3 linked regions of the Canis lupus familiaris genome follow. The protein of the gene in region 1 binds, or shares a complex with, the protein of each later gene. Links are inferred from orthologs where the notes say so. Each region holds a gene or a part of one and is shown in the gene's direction. Other genes may lie near its edges.

Region 1 (3,626 bases):
CAGGAATGCAGCTCTAATCCCCACACATCTGGACGGCTTTAGCTCCCCCTGACCCTCCCCACGGCCCGTGAGGCCGGCAGGGCTGGGGCCACGCACCCCCAGCTCAGAGGATGCCAAGTCATGGTTGTCCGGATGTCTCTGCTGGGTGGGGGCCCCGGGCGGGGGGCGCAGGCCCGGGCCAGGGTGAGAAGGGCAGCAGCGCCGGGCCTGCCCGGGCAGCCAGGCAGGCCCCAGGCCCCTCGGGTCAGGGAGAGGTTCCCAGGCGGGTGGTGCCACCATCCCCGGGTTGAAGGACGGGTTCCGAGTGAGCCAGGAACCACCCCAGGGCAGGGTGTTCCGGCCGGTTGCACGTCCAGGCACCCTCCCTCCCGCTCCCAGGAGGACCGGATCTCAGCCGGGGGAGGGCAGCCCCCACTCGGAGGCCCTGGCCACCGCCACGGGCCATGTTTGGGGGGTTCAGGCCTTGCCCCGGAGCTGGGGCCGGCTTGGAGAAAGGACAGGACGTGGCAGGCTCATGCCTGGGGCACCTGGCCTGGCTAAGAGGCAGCAGTGAGCTGCGGGGGCTGCTCCCAGCGCGCGCGCGCGCGCACACACACACACACACACACACACACACACACACACACCCCGCCCCCCCCCCCCCCCCCCCCCCCCCCCCCCCCCCGGGGAAGCAGAGGGAAAACTGAGGAGTGGCCCCGGGCTCAGGACCTGAGTGACCTCTCAGTCGACCTCGAGCTTTTGCCCTGCAGTGGCCCAGCAAGGCCATGTACAGCTGACCCTGGGCTCCTTGCAAGAACAAGGGAGGCTTCTCGAACATGTCACTGAGCTCTAAATAGAGCAGCCCAGCCTCAGCACCCCCCCCCACCAAGACTTCTTGGACGGGACGACAGCACGCGGCTGGGCCGGGCCGGGCGGCCTGGGCAGGTGGGGAGGCCCCTGTGCCCCCATTGGTCTGAGGAGGGCTCCATGCCCTTTCTGAGCAGGGGCCCAGCCTGGGGAGGCCATTTATACCCCTCCCCCTGGGCCCACCAGCCCAACTTGCCGCTGCCGGCCTGACCTCGCTCCCGGCCCTGCTGCCCAGACACTAGGTGAGGCCAGCCCGGCCAGCCCAGGCCGAGGACAGGCACTCCTTGAGCTAGCTCCCAGGACGACCCAGGGTGGGGTCCTGGGGGTTGGGGGCCGCCTCTAGCAGCCCTCTCAGGGGGGGTGGCTTCCATGGAGCCTGGAGCCAGATGGCGATGCATTGGGAGGTGGCTGGGGTGGGGGGTGGCCAGGGGTCGTGGACAGCCTCCAGATCACCAGCCCTCCCTTCTGGGTGGGACACAGGGAGGAGATCTGATGGGTCGAGGGACCCCAGGCCAAAGCGGGGAGCACTTTCTTGCATGCACTTGGGCCCAAAGCCGAAGGAGCAGAGCTAAAAATAGTGGGAAGGCTCTCGTGGCCACCTGTGCTGGCCCGTCCCGCCCCCCCGGGACAGCTGCAACAACCCGGGCCCCGCCTGGGACATTTTAGGAACACTTTCTCCTCTTCTTACCCTGGGAATCCCAAGATGGTGCCTCCAAGGAGGTCAGAGCTGGGGGCAGGGCAACAGGCAGAGGGCTGGGGTCAGGGTGGCCCCCACCTGGATAACCAGCGTCCAGGGCAGGATGGGCCATGGCCCTCACACCCATGCCTTTTCTCTCCCACAGGCTCTAAGCCCAGGACTTCAGGATGGGGGAGTAAGTGCAGCCCAAAGCTGGGGGCCCCCTGCTGTCCCCACCCTCCCCACCAGGCGGGGGTCTCTACAGTTCCCCGGCTGGCTCTGACCACCCTCCACTCCCCCATCATACTGTCCCATCTATGTCCCTAACCTGTCTCTTTTCTCCCCTTAACCCCCCTGCCTCCCCGGGACAGTGAGGAGGTGAGTACCTGCTGGGGGGGGGGGAGGCATGAAACACAGAGGGGATGGGACCTGCCTGACTTGGGATAGGTCATAGGTTAGAGCACAGGGGCAGCTGCCCAGCCCTCCCCCGTGAGAGTGCCCCACCCAGCCACCCAGACTCAATGAAACAGGAAGTGGCTACCCACGTCTCACAGGGCAGGGGATGTGGGGCTGGGGCCTGGTCACCAGAATCGCTTCTTCTTTCTGAGGCTGCCCCCCACCTCCTGGGCCCTGCAGGGATCCCCTGCCCCTCCCCCTGCCCCTGAGGTACCGCCCCTTTTCCTTTTACCTCCCTGAGCCTTTAAGCCTCACCCGCCACCTGGTCACAGGTGTCCTGGGCCCGGTCCCCCAGCAGGGCCTTGGGACCCCCCCACCCCGGTTCAGTTGCATCCAGGCAGGGTCCACAGGCCTGGTGGAGCAAGCGTGGAGGGATGTGGGGGTGCCAGGGACCCCAACTAGCCCTGACTCTGCTTCCTGCCCCCTCCCCTGCAGAAACGCAACAGGGCCATCACGGCCCGGAGACAGCACCTGAAGGTAGGTGCTCCCTGGAGAGGGCCATCCCAGGGTGCCAGTGGGACTGGGCCACCACAGTCCCTCACCGCCTGCCCCCCGCTCCCTGCCCCTCTAGAGTGTCATGCTCCAGATTGCCGCCCAGGAGCTGGAGAAAGAAGAGAGTCGCCGTGAGTCTGAGAAGCAGAACTACCTGTCTGAGCACTGCCCGCCTCTGCACCTGCCCGGCTCCATGTCCGAAGTGCAGGTACCCTCCCCGAGCGGTGCTCTGGCCTGTTGCCTCAGTTTCCCCTTTGGTCAAGAGGGCCGGTAGGGTAGGTGGAGGTCAGGTGGACAGCTGCCCCACCCCACCTGCTGCCCCCACCCCAGGAGCTCTGCAAACAGCTGCACGCCAAGATCGACGCAGCCGAGGAGGAGAAGTATGACATGGAAGTGAGGGTTCAGAAGAGCACCAAGGAGGTAAGCAGGCATGGGGTGGGCGTGGACGGGTGAGGGGCTCCCCGGACCAGCAGGGGGCCCTGCAGCCACTGCCACCCACCCAGCCCTAACCTCTGCCCCGCAGCTGGAGGACATGAACCAGAAGCTGTTCGACCTGAGAGGCAAGTTCAAGAGGCCCCCGTTGAGGAGGGTGCGCATGTCTGCCGACGCGATGCTCAAGGCGCTGCTGGGCTCCAAGCACAAGGTGTGCATGGACCTGAGGGCCAACCTGAAGCAGGTCAAGAAGGAGGACACCGAGAAGGTACGCGGCACCTCCCCAGCCCACTGAGCAGACCCCCACCACGGCTGGGCTCTGGGCCCCGGGAGGGGGAAACTGAGGCCAAGGGCGGCCTGCAGTGCCTTCCTAAGCCCCATTGCACCTGTCCCCAGGAGCGGGACCTGCGTGACGTGGGTGACTGGCGGAAGAACATCGAGGAGAAGTCTGGCATGGAGGGCAGGAAGAAGATGTTTGAGACTGAGTCCTAGGCCACTTGCCACCCTCTTGCCCGGTGCGGCCCTCCCCCCGCAGAGGGTGGGAGGACAGGGCTCGTCTCAGTGGTTAATAAAGGATTCCAATCCCCGTGACTGGTCTGGTCTGGTCCTGCCCAGCCTCACAGCCCACAGATGGCCTCCAGGCACCCAGCAAACAGCAGCGTGCTGGGGACAGCCCGGGGTAAGGGCAGCGGGGAGGCCGCCGGGCCTGCAGGCCATGCTGGGG
Region 2 (3,626 bases), on another chromosome or scaffold:
GAGAGAGAGAGAGGCAGAGACATAGGCAGAGAGAGAAGTAGGCTCCCTGTGGGGAGCCCAATGTGGGACTCCATCCCTAGACTGGGATCATGCCCTGAGCCAAAGGCAGACACTCAGCTGCTGAGCCACCCAGGCATCCCTCAATGTTTATTTCTCTTCCAAATGCATACCCATCTCCTGGATCTGTAGATTTCTCCTTTGGACAGGTCCCCTCCTGGCTGTCCCAACTTCCCTTCAGGAATAATAAGAATCATTGACATGACTATAGACCTTTGTGATTTAACAAAGCTCCCCAGTAAAAAGGGAATAATAATAGCTTCTCCCCTATAGATGACGACTAGGTGAGATCACATGGTTAAAATGCTTAGCATGGAGTGTGAACCTAGAGGTTCAGTGACTGGCTGTCATTCTCTCCTCCTCCCCTCCCCTGCCCTCTAGCATGGTTCAGACAGGACATTCCACTTGCCAAGCACCAACCCTATAGAGCAGGCACAAGCTCGGCGACTTACACCTGGGCCCCATTTCTCATTGGTCTCTCTGTGAGGGCGGGTCATGACTGTCCCCATCTCCACCTCACAGAGAAGGAAACTGAAGCTCAGAAACTGAAGCTCAGAGTGGCATGTCACCTGCCTAAGAGTACACAGCTTGCAAAGAAAGTATTGGGTTTAAGACTTCAAGGCTCGTGCTCTTTCCTGTCTGCCATGCTGCTTCAACTTTTCTGGATTCTGATTATCCTCACCCATCTTGGAGCAAGCGTGTTTCTTGAGCAGGGGCTCCCTAAAGCAGTGGAGCAGGGCGGGTTCTTCTCCCAAGAATCTAGGACGTCAAGGCCTGCCACCTGCTCACAGGCTTAAATTTCTCTGCAAGGGCCCTTGGCTAAATTAGGTAATGGGCCAGGACTCTGGAATGGGGGTGGGGGAGGAAAGGAGGAGGTGCTCACTGACCCCAGGATCTGATTGGCCAGGGCAATTAGTCCTGGGGAGCAGAGAGGTGGGAGGAGAGGGTGCCCCTACAAATCCAAGGTGCTGGAGCAGGCCAGGGTATCTTTGGGTGGTGGAGTGCTGAGGAGGTGACTGACCTGAAGCAGGGGAGGCCCAGTGACTTGCAACCATGGTAAGGACAAGAAGGAACTTCATCCCTTTGCTTGCTGGAGCACTTCTGGACCTCTTCCAGGCCAGATCTGGGTGCTCTGTAGTTCAGTAATTGGACGTTTAAAGATGGAACATGTAGGCTCCTGGAGCCTAGATGTCTAGGAGGAAGCCTGGGAAGAAGGCCTTGGACTTCTCTAGGAAGGGGAGGGCTGGGTGCTCTGGGATTGCCAACTCCCTGCAGACCTAAGGCTTTGGCAGTGTTGGCCACGGAATTGTGAGGGGGGTGTTAGCTTGTCTCCCTCACGGTGGAGGTGGGGACCCTGAGGGCCAGAGTGAGTCACCTAGCAAGCCAGTGGCTGGGGTGAGCTAGCTGGAGGTCTTGCCAAATCATCCTACTGCCGGTGAGAGGAGTCCTCTAGAAGAAGGGAGGCCTACAGAGCTTCAAGCCAGCTAAGGTGCAGGATCCCAAGAGCTATGAGGGAGAGAAGGGGCAGAAGATGATAGACCAAGGTTAGAGACCCCAGCCTCCCAGAGAGGGAGGTCATTTCCCCTGAGGTCCCTCTCCCCACTTCAAGGGGTAACTAGACCCCACAGGACAGCTGCTGTTGCCCATGCCAGGCTAAAAATAGCCTGCCCTCCTGCATGGTCAAGGAGGAGGGAGGAGGGGAGGGTAAGGAGGAGGGCAGTGGCTAGCTGGCCGCCGAAGAAGGCCTTGGCCACCTCAGCCCCTCCTCCCCGCCAGCCTCAGTCCAAAGTCCCATAGCCAGATGGCTTGGCTTGGATGTGGCCAGATCGCCTCCCCCGAAATCTTATTTCCACCTCCACAAGGCCCCCATTATATTCTGTCCAGCATGATTATGATTTACTCCAATGGCTAAGTGATAAGAAGGGAGCTTAAAATCTCCATCTCCACAAGTTGTCGGAGGGAAGGGATGGGTGTCTGGGTCTTCTTGGCCTCAGTGTCCAGTGTCTGGCCTGACGCTTAGTTGGGGCTCAATGACTCTGCCTTGCATTATTGAGAACATTTACTGAGCCCCTATTATAGTACCAGGCTCTACTGGGAGCTGGGGGACACTGAAAAATGATGCTGGAATAGTGCTGGTACTTTACAAAACTCTTTGACGTCTCTGATCTTTTCATTCTTGAAAAGCAGCTGAGAAGAGCTAGAGTAGAATAAGTGACTTGCCCAAGGTTAGAAAGGGGGATTCCTGACTTGACATCTGATTAGCAGGTTTGGAGACCCTGGGCATAATCTGTTTCCTCCTTGTTCTTCAAAACTGGGGTTCAGGTGCTGCGGGAGCATGCAGAAGGTGTTGTTAGTTTGGAACTGTTCTTCTGGAAGACCAAAGGGCACTGACAGAAAGGGGTTGAAGAGAAGGGGGTTAAGGCAAGAATGAGCTCTGGGGCCACCCCTTCTGCTGGCTGACTCTGTGTCTCCTGCAGACGGACCAGCAGGCGGAGGCCCGGTCCTACCTCAGCGAGGAGATGATCGCTGGTGAGTGCGGGCCGGCGGGCGGGTGGCTGCGTGCTGGGCAGTGCTGGGGGCTGGGCAGGGTGGGAGGGAGGGTGTGAGGCTGACAGTCCAGCCAGGCCCACCTCGGTCCTCTGCCTCGCTCAGAGTTCAAGGCTGCCTTCGACATGTTCGACGCTGATGGTGGCGGGGACATTAGCGTCAAGGAGTTGGGCACGGTGATGAGGATGCTGGGCCAGACCCCCACCAAAGAGGAGCTGGACGCCATCATCGAGGAGGTGGACGAGGATGGTGAGCAGGTGGCCCTCCAGGGGCTGCGACTGCGGCGGGCGGGGTGGGCCCGCAGGGCTCAGGCTCACTCGCCACCTGCTCGCCTCAGGCAGCGGCACCATCGACTTCGAGGAGTTCTTGGTCATGATGGTGCGCCAGATGAAAGAGGATGCGAAGGGCAAGAGCGAGGAGGAGCTGGCCGAGTGTTTCCGCATCTTCGACAGGTGCACTGAGGGCTGGGGAGCCGAGAAGGCGCTGGGCTGGGCGAGTGCGCGGACCAGGCGGCGCGGGTGGGCGGTGTGGGGGTGTGGGGGGCGGCTCGCCCCCGCCTGTCCTGACACCCTGTCCCTTCGCCCCAAGGAACGCAGACGGCTACATCGATGCGGAGGAGCTGGCTGAAATCTTCAGGGCCTCCGGGGAGCACGTGACAGACGAGGAGATTGAGTCCCTGATGAAAGACGGCGACAAGAACAACGACGGCCGCATCGACTTCGACGGTGAGGGCGGGCGCGGGGCGCGGGGCGCGGGGCGCGGGGCGGGGCTCCCACGCGGCCGTCCGTGGCTTTGTCCGCAGGGCGGGAGCCCCGGCGGTGCGTGCGACTGACGCTTCCGCGCTCCATCCCCGCAGAGTTCCTGAAGATGATGGAAGGCGTGCAGTAAGAAGTCGCCCCCGCATCCGCCCCGACGCGCGTCCCTCGGGCGAGGGCGGGCCCGGCACCCCCGCCCCGCCCCGTCACGGCCTCAGCCCCAGGAGGGAGGCGCGGCCCCTGCGGGCTCTGTGTGCAGGGGAATAA
Region 3 (3,626 bases), on another chromosome or scaffold:
ATTAATCCACGCAGTGCCCGGCACTCGAGGCAGGGAGCTGGTGTGGTTATGGAGACGGGGCTCCGCAGGGGGGTGGGAGGGAGGGATGGGCGCTGGCCGTTGGGGCTAACAGGCTGGCCCTGGCCCTAGAAACTATAGTACTGGAATGGGGAAGCACAGACACAGAGATGGAGCCCTAACCCAGGGGAAGACCCCCACCTGGAAGAGGGGGATGGTAACCCAGCTGAAGGGGAAAAGTCTAGCACGGATGGGGCATCTGTACATGTGTGCACTGAATGACCAAATGCAGCTTACCCACACCCAGAGCTAGTGCTGTTCTCCCTGGGGAGATGAGAGGTCTTGGCTATGGATGCTCTGACACCCCTGGGCCCAAGGGCTCCAGAGCACTCTGTGCTAACGTGGGTGAATGACTTCCTTCTCCGGTGGTTACACAACGCCATACTCTGAACTTGGCATTCGAAGCTTCTCTTGAAAGGGCCTCTCTTTGCTGCATACTGCTGGCCAGCACCCTCCCTCCGCAACAGGCTTAGCTTAAGACGGGGGCTGCCAAGTCAGACGTATTCCGAACAAATCACCAGCCCTCCAGGAGCTTAAGTTTCCTCATCTGAAAAATGGGAATATTACCCATCTTCCTGATTGGATAAGAATTGAACTTCTGTGTGTAGGGGCCTGGCCTGGGGCCCACTATTTTTCAGCACCTGTCCTGTTCTTGGCTTATGTTTTCTTTCATTCAAGAAGACTTTCCAGAGAGTCCCCTAGGAACCATGGGGGACAGAAGGAAAAAGATGTGGTCCTTTTGCAGCCCTTCATCTGCTCCCTGCACTGGGCAGAGGACACAGGGATTCAGGCCAGCCTGAGATCACCAGGGCTGGGGGAGGGGGTGGAGGATACTGCAGGCTGGGGTGGGCTGGGCCGGCGGGGAATGAGGTGGGGCAGGGCTATTTAAGCCCAGGGCTGGCTGGCAACCCCAGCAGCCTGCCCTGTGAGCCGCCAGCATGGATGACATCTACAAGGCTGCGGTGAGGGACTGGGCTGGGCAGGGCTGGGGTGGATGGGCCCACTGGGGCCTCACTCAACTCACGATGGGGGGTGAGGTCACTCTACAAAGGTAGTGGGGACCTGGGAGAGGGCCCATGCAACTTTCAGCCCAGGCCCTCAAGGGGATGGATGGTGGATCTGGCATTCTAATTCCAGGGTGTAGAAGGAGTGAGGGGTTTAGGGTGAGGGGTTCAAGGTCTGGAGAGGAGCTTTTTGGAGGGTGGAGGAGGTCATAACTTTTAGCATCACGTCTGCCCCTGTCTCCAAGTGTCTGTAGTCTGTGTCACTATCTTCCAGCCACATCTCCCTTCACTTGTGTCTGTGGTTTTTGGATCTTTGCCTTTATCAGTCTCTTTCTATCTCTTTGTTCCTCCTCGTTGTCCCTCTGAGTCTCTGCTTCTGTTTCCCTGTCCCCACCTCATCCCCCTCTCCGTTTCTGCCCCTCACATTCTGCTCCTCACCCCACCCCCTACCTCCAGCTCCTTGGATGGCTGAAGATGCTGTGGAGGGTGGGACAGTTTGAGAAGGGGGCTGGTGATCCAGAATCCTGAGCTGGAAAAGGGGCTTAGAGGTTTGAGGTAGGCAGGGAAGCGCTAAGCATGGGGGAGACACAGGGAAAAAGGAATCAAGAACCAGGGCCCCCACCCCAATCAGGCCTGGAGGGCTCAGGGGTCAGTGGTTTAGCCAGGGGTGAGGGCTGGAGAGTGGTCACCCTGAGTCCCTGCAGCGTCCTAGGGTCACTGAGGGGCCTCAGATACTAGTCCCTCCCAGGAGTAGGTGGTGTTGCTGACCTCCCCCTGTCCCAGAGGCAAGGATGTTCGGCATAGACAACTGTCCCCAAGGGAACCCCTCCCTCAGCCCTGAGAGTGGAGTGCAGCCTCACTTCCGGGCAGGGGAGAGCTAGAGCTGGCTCTAGGGCTGTCCCTGCCTGTCCTACAGGAGTCCACAGAGCTGGCGGGGGAGGGAGCTGCCCTCCACCCTGTGCCCATACAAGGCCTGGTGGGGCTGGGGACTAATTTTGGCTCCTGAGGCACCAGCAGGCCAGGGGGCCAGATAATGCTGCCCCACCCCCTGCATGCCAGAGTCCCCAGAACAATCACCAGGTTTAACTTTGTCCCCCGTTAAAAATAGCCCAGTGGCCGTCCAGGTCAGGTTACAGTGGGTGGCTTTGCCTATCCCCACACTGGTTTTATTGTCCCAACCTGAGGGACAGCTGTCCCTCAGGCCACCCAGCTTGGATTTCACCAAGGGAGCCGAAAGGGCATTGAGTGGTCACTGACTATTGTTACTCGGGGTCACCTTGGCCCTGGAAGGGGCGCCCACCTGTCACCCTGGCCCTAAGCCCAGCCTCAGTGAGGCCAGCTGGGTCACCTCAGGACTTCGGGGGACAGGGAGTGAGGACTGAGGACTGTGACCTGGGAATGGCCTGCCTCTTCCTGGCTTCACTTTCCCCATCTGTGGAATGGGTTGATTTCCTTAATAGCAGCCAAGTCCTGAATCAGTCCTGAGACCTCTTTTTCTCTCCAGGTAGAACAGCTGACAGAAGAGCAGAAAAATGGTGAGTGCTCCAACATATGTGGGGGTACGACAGGGCCAGGCTGGGGGAGCATGAGGACCCCCGAGGCCGGGGTCCCTCTCACCGCAACCTCAGAGGTCTTGGAGGGAAAAGGCAGTTGGCAGATGGCCCCAGAGGTCTGGCCTTCTGGGATCCTGGCTTCTGAGCCCTGACCACTCTATCTTCCCCTCCTTCCCTTTGGACACAGAATTCAAGGCAGCCTTTGACATCTTCGTGCTGGGCGCCGAAGATGGCTGCATCAGCACCAAGGAGCTGGGCAAGGTGATGAGGATGCTGGGCCAGAACCCCACACCCGAGGAGCTGCAGGAGATGATTGACGAGGTGGATGAGGACGGTGAGCCCCCTGCCCCCCAGACCCTAGACCCACATCAGCCTCCAGTGCTTGGGCCCCAAATCCTGGCTCTGCCACTTATTACTCTGTGCCCTCGAAGGAACTTTTAACCTCTCTGAGCCTCAATCGTGTCATCTTCTGAAATGGATATAATGACCACACTCGTCTCACGGAGTTGCTATGAGAATGCATGCAGCAGGGCACCTGGGTGGCTAAGCAGTTGAGTGGCTGCCTTTGGCTCAGGGCATGGTCTTGCAGTCCCGGGATCGAGTCCTTCATCAGGCTCCCCTGCAGGGAGCCTGCTTCTCCCTCTGCCTGTGTCTCTGCCTCTCTCTCTCTCTGTCTCTCTTGAATAAATAAATAAAATATTTTTAAAAAGAGAGAGAATGCACGCAGCAAGAGCACAGGGGTTTAGTGTCAAGAGCATTCTAACCATCCCTCACTGATGGCTGGGCTGCTCACCTTGCAGGCAGTGGCACAGTGGACTTTGATGAGTTCCTGGTCATGATGGTTCGGTGCATGAAGGATGACAGCAAAGGAAAGTCTGAGGAGGAGCTGTCCGACCTTTTCCGCATGTTTGACAAGTGAGTGCATGACCCAGGATCTCTGACCTGACTCTTGCAGAGGTGGGGAAAGGGGGACAGTCTTGTGACCTCAAGGCCTCAGTTTCCCACTCTGTGC

The links.
Region 2: the proteins of TNNI2 (region 1) and TNNC2 are in contact, whole or in part, in a crystal structure (PDB 1A2X), measured with the Oryctolagus cuniculus proteins. The link is inferred for Canis lupus familiaris from reciprocal best matches to the Homo sapiens genes TNNI2 and TNNC2. Residues at the interface, in NP_001076252.1 of Oryctolagus cuniculus: Glu5, Asn8, Arg9, Ile11, Thr12, Arg14, Arg15, Gln16, His17, Leu18, Lys19, Ser20, Val21, Met22, Leu23, Ile25, Ala26, Glu29, Leu30, Glu33; in NP_001076114.1 of Oryctolagus cuniculus: Ser13, Glu15, Met16, Ala18, Glu19, Ala22, Lys91, Leu96, Glu98, Cys99, Arg101, Ile102, Phe103, Arg105, Ile119, Phe120, Ala122, Ser123, Glu125, His126, Val127, Glu131, Ser134, Leu135, Asp138, Phe152, Met155, Met156, Val159, Gln160.
Region 3: the proteins of TNNI2 (region 1) and TNNC1 are in contact, whole or in part, in an NMR structure (PDB 2MKP), measured with the Homo sapiens proteins. The link is inferred for Canis lupus familiaris from reciprocal best matches to the Homo sapiens genes TNNI2 and TNNC1. Residues at the interface, in NP_001139301.1 of Homo sapiens: Arg116, Met117, Ser118, Ala119, Asp120, Ala121, Met122, Leu123, Ala125, Leu126, Leu127, Lys130, His131, Lys132; in NP_003271.1 of Homo sapiens: Asn18, Glu19, Phe20, Ala22, Ala23, Ile26, Val44, Met45, Met47, Leu48, Gln50, Pro52, Glu56, Phe77, Met80, Met81, Cys84, Met85, Lys86, Asp87.

Annotation. Positions count from the first base shown.
Region 1 is NC_049239.1:46,531,061-46,534,686, forward strand, and holds TNNI2 (troponin I, fast skeletal muscle), read left to right. Parts: upstream 1-976; 5' UTR 977-1,088; intron 1,089-1,532; exon of another isoform or gene 1,533-1,566; intron 1,567-1,688; 5' UTR 1,689-1,710; coding exon 1,711-1,718; intron 1,719-1,893; coding exon 1,894-1,900; intron 1,901-2,413; coding exon 2,414-2,455; intron 2,456-2,549; coding exon 2,550-2,678; intron 2,679-2,800; coding exon 2,801-2,890; intron 2,891-2,993; coding exon 2,994-3,170; intron 3,171-3,298; coding exon 3,299-3,394; 3' UTR 3,395-3,493; downstream 3,494-3,626. UniProt on the Homo sapiens protein: Troponin I is the inhibitory subunit of troponin, the thin filament regulatory complex which confers calcium-sensitivity to striated muscle actomyosin ATPase activity.
Region 2 is NC_049245.1:33,759,923-33,763,548, reverse strand, and holds the start of TNNC2 (troponin C, skeletal muscle), read left to right. Parts: upstream 1-989; 5' UTR 990-1,110; coding exon 1,111-1,113; intron 1,114-2,534; coding exon 2,535-2,586; intron 2,587-2,709; coding exon 2,710-2,853; intron 2,854-2,941; coding exon 2,942-3,056; intron 3,057-3,192; coding exon 3,193-3,329; intron 3,330-3,460; coding exon 3,461-3,492; 3' UTR 3,493-3,626. UniProt on the Homo sapiens protein: Troponin is the central regulatory protein of striated muscle contraction. Tn consists of three components: Tn-I which is the inhibitor of actomyosin ATPase, Tn-T which contains the binding site for tropomyosin and Tn-C.
Region 3 is NC_049241.1:37,720,314-37,723,939, forward strand, and holds the start of TNNC1 (troponin C, slow skeletal and cardiac muscles), read left to right. Parts: upstream 1-888; 5' UTR 889-995; coding exon 996-1,019; intron 1,020-2,565; coding exon 2,566-2,596; intron 2,597-2,801; coding exon 2,802-2,948; intron 2,949-3,414; coding exon 3,415-3,529; intron 3,530-3,626. UniProt on the Homo sapiens protein: Troponin is the central regulatory protein of striated muscle contraction. Tn consists of three components: Tn-I which is the inhibitor of actomyosin ATPase, Tn-T which contains the binding site for tropomyosin and Tn-C.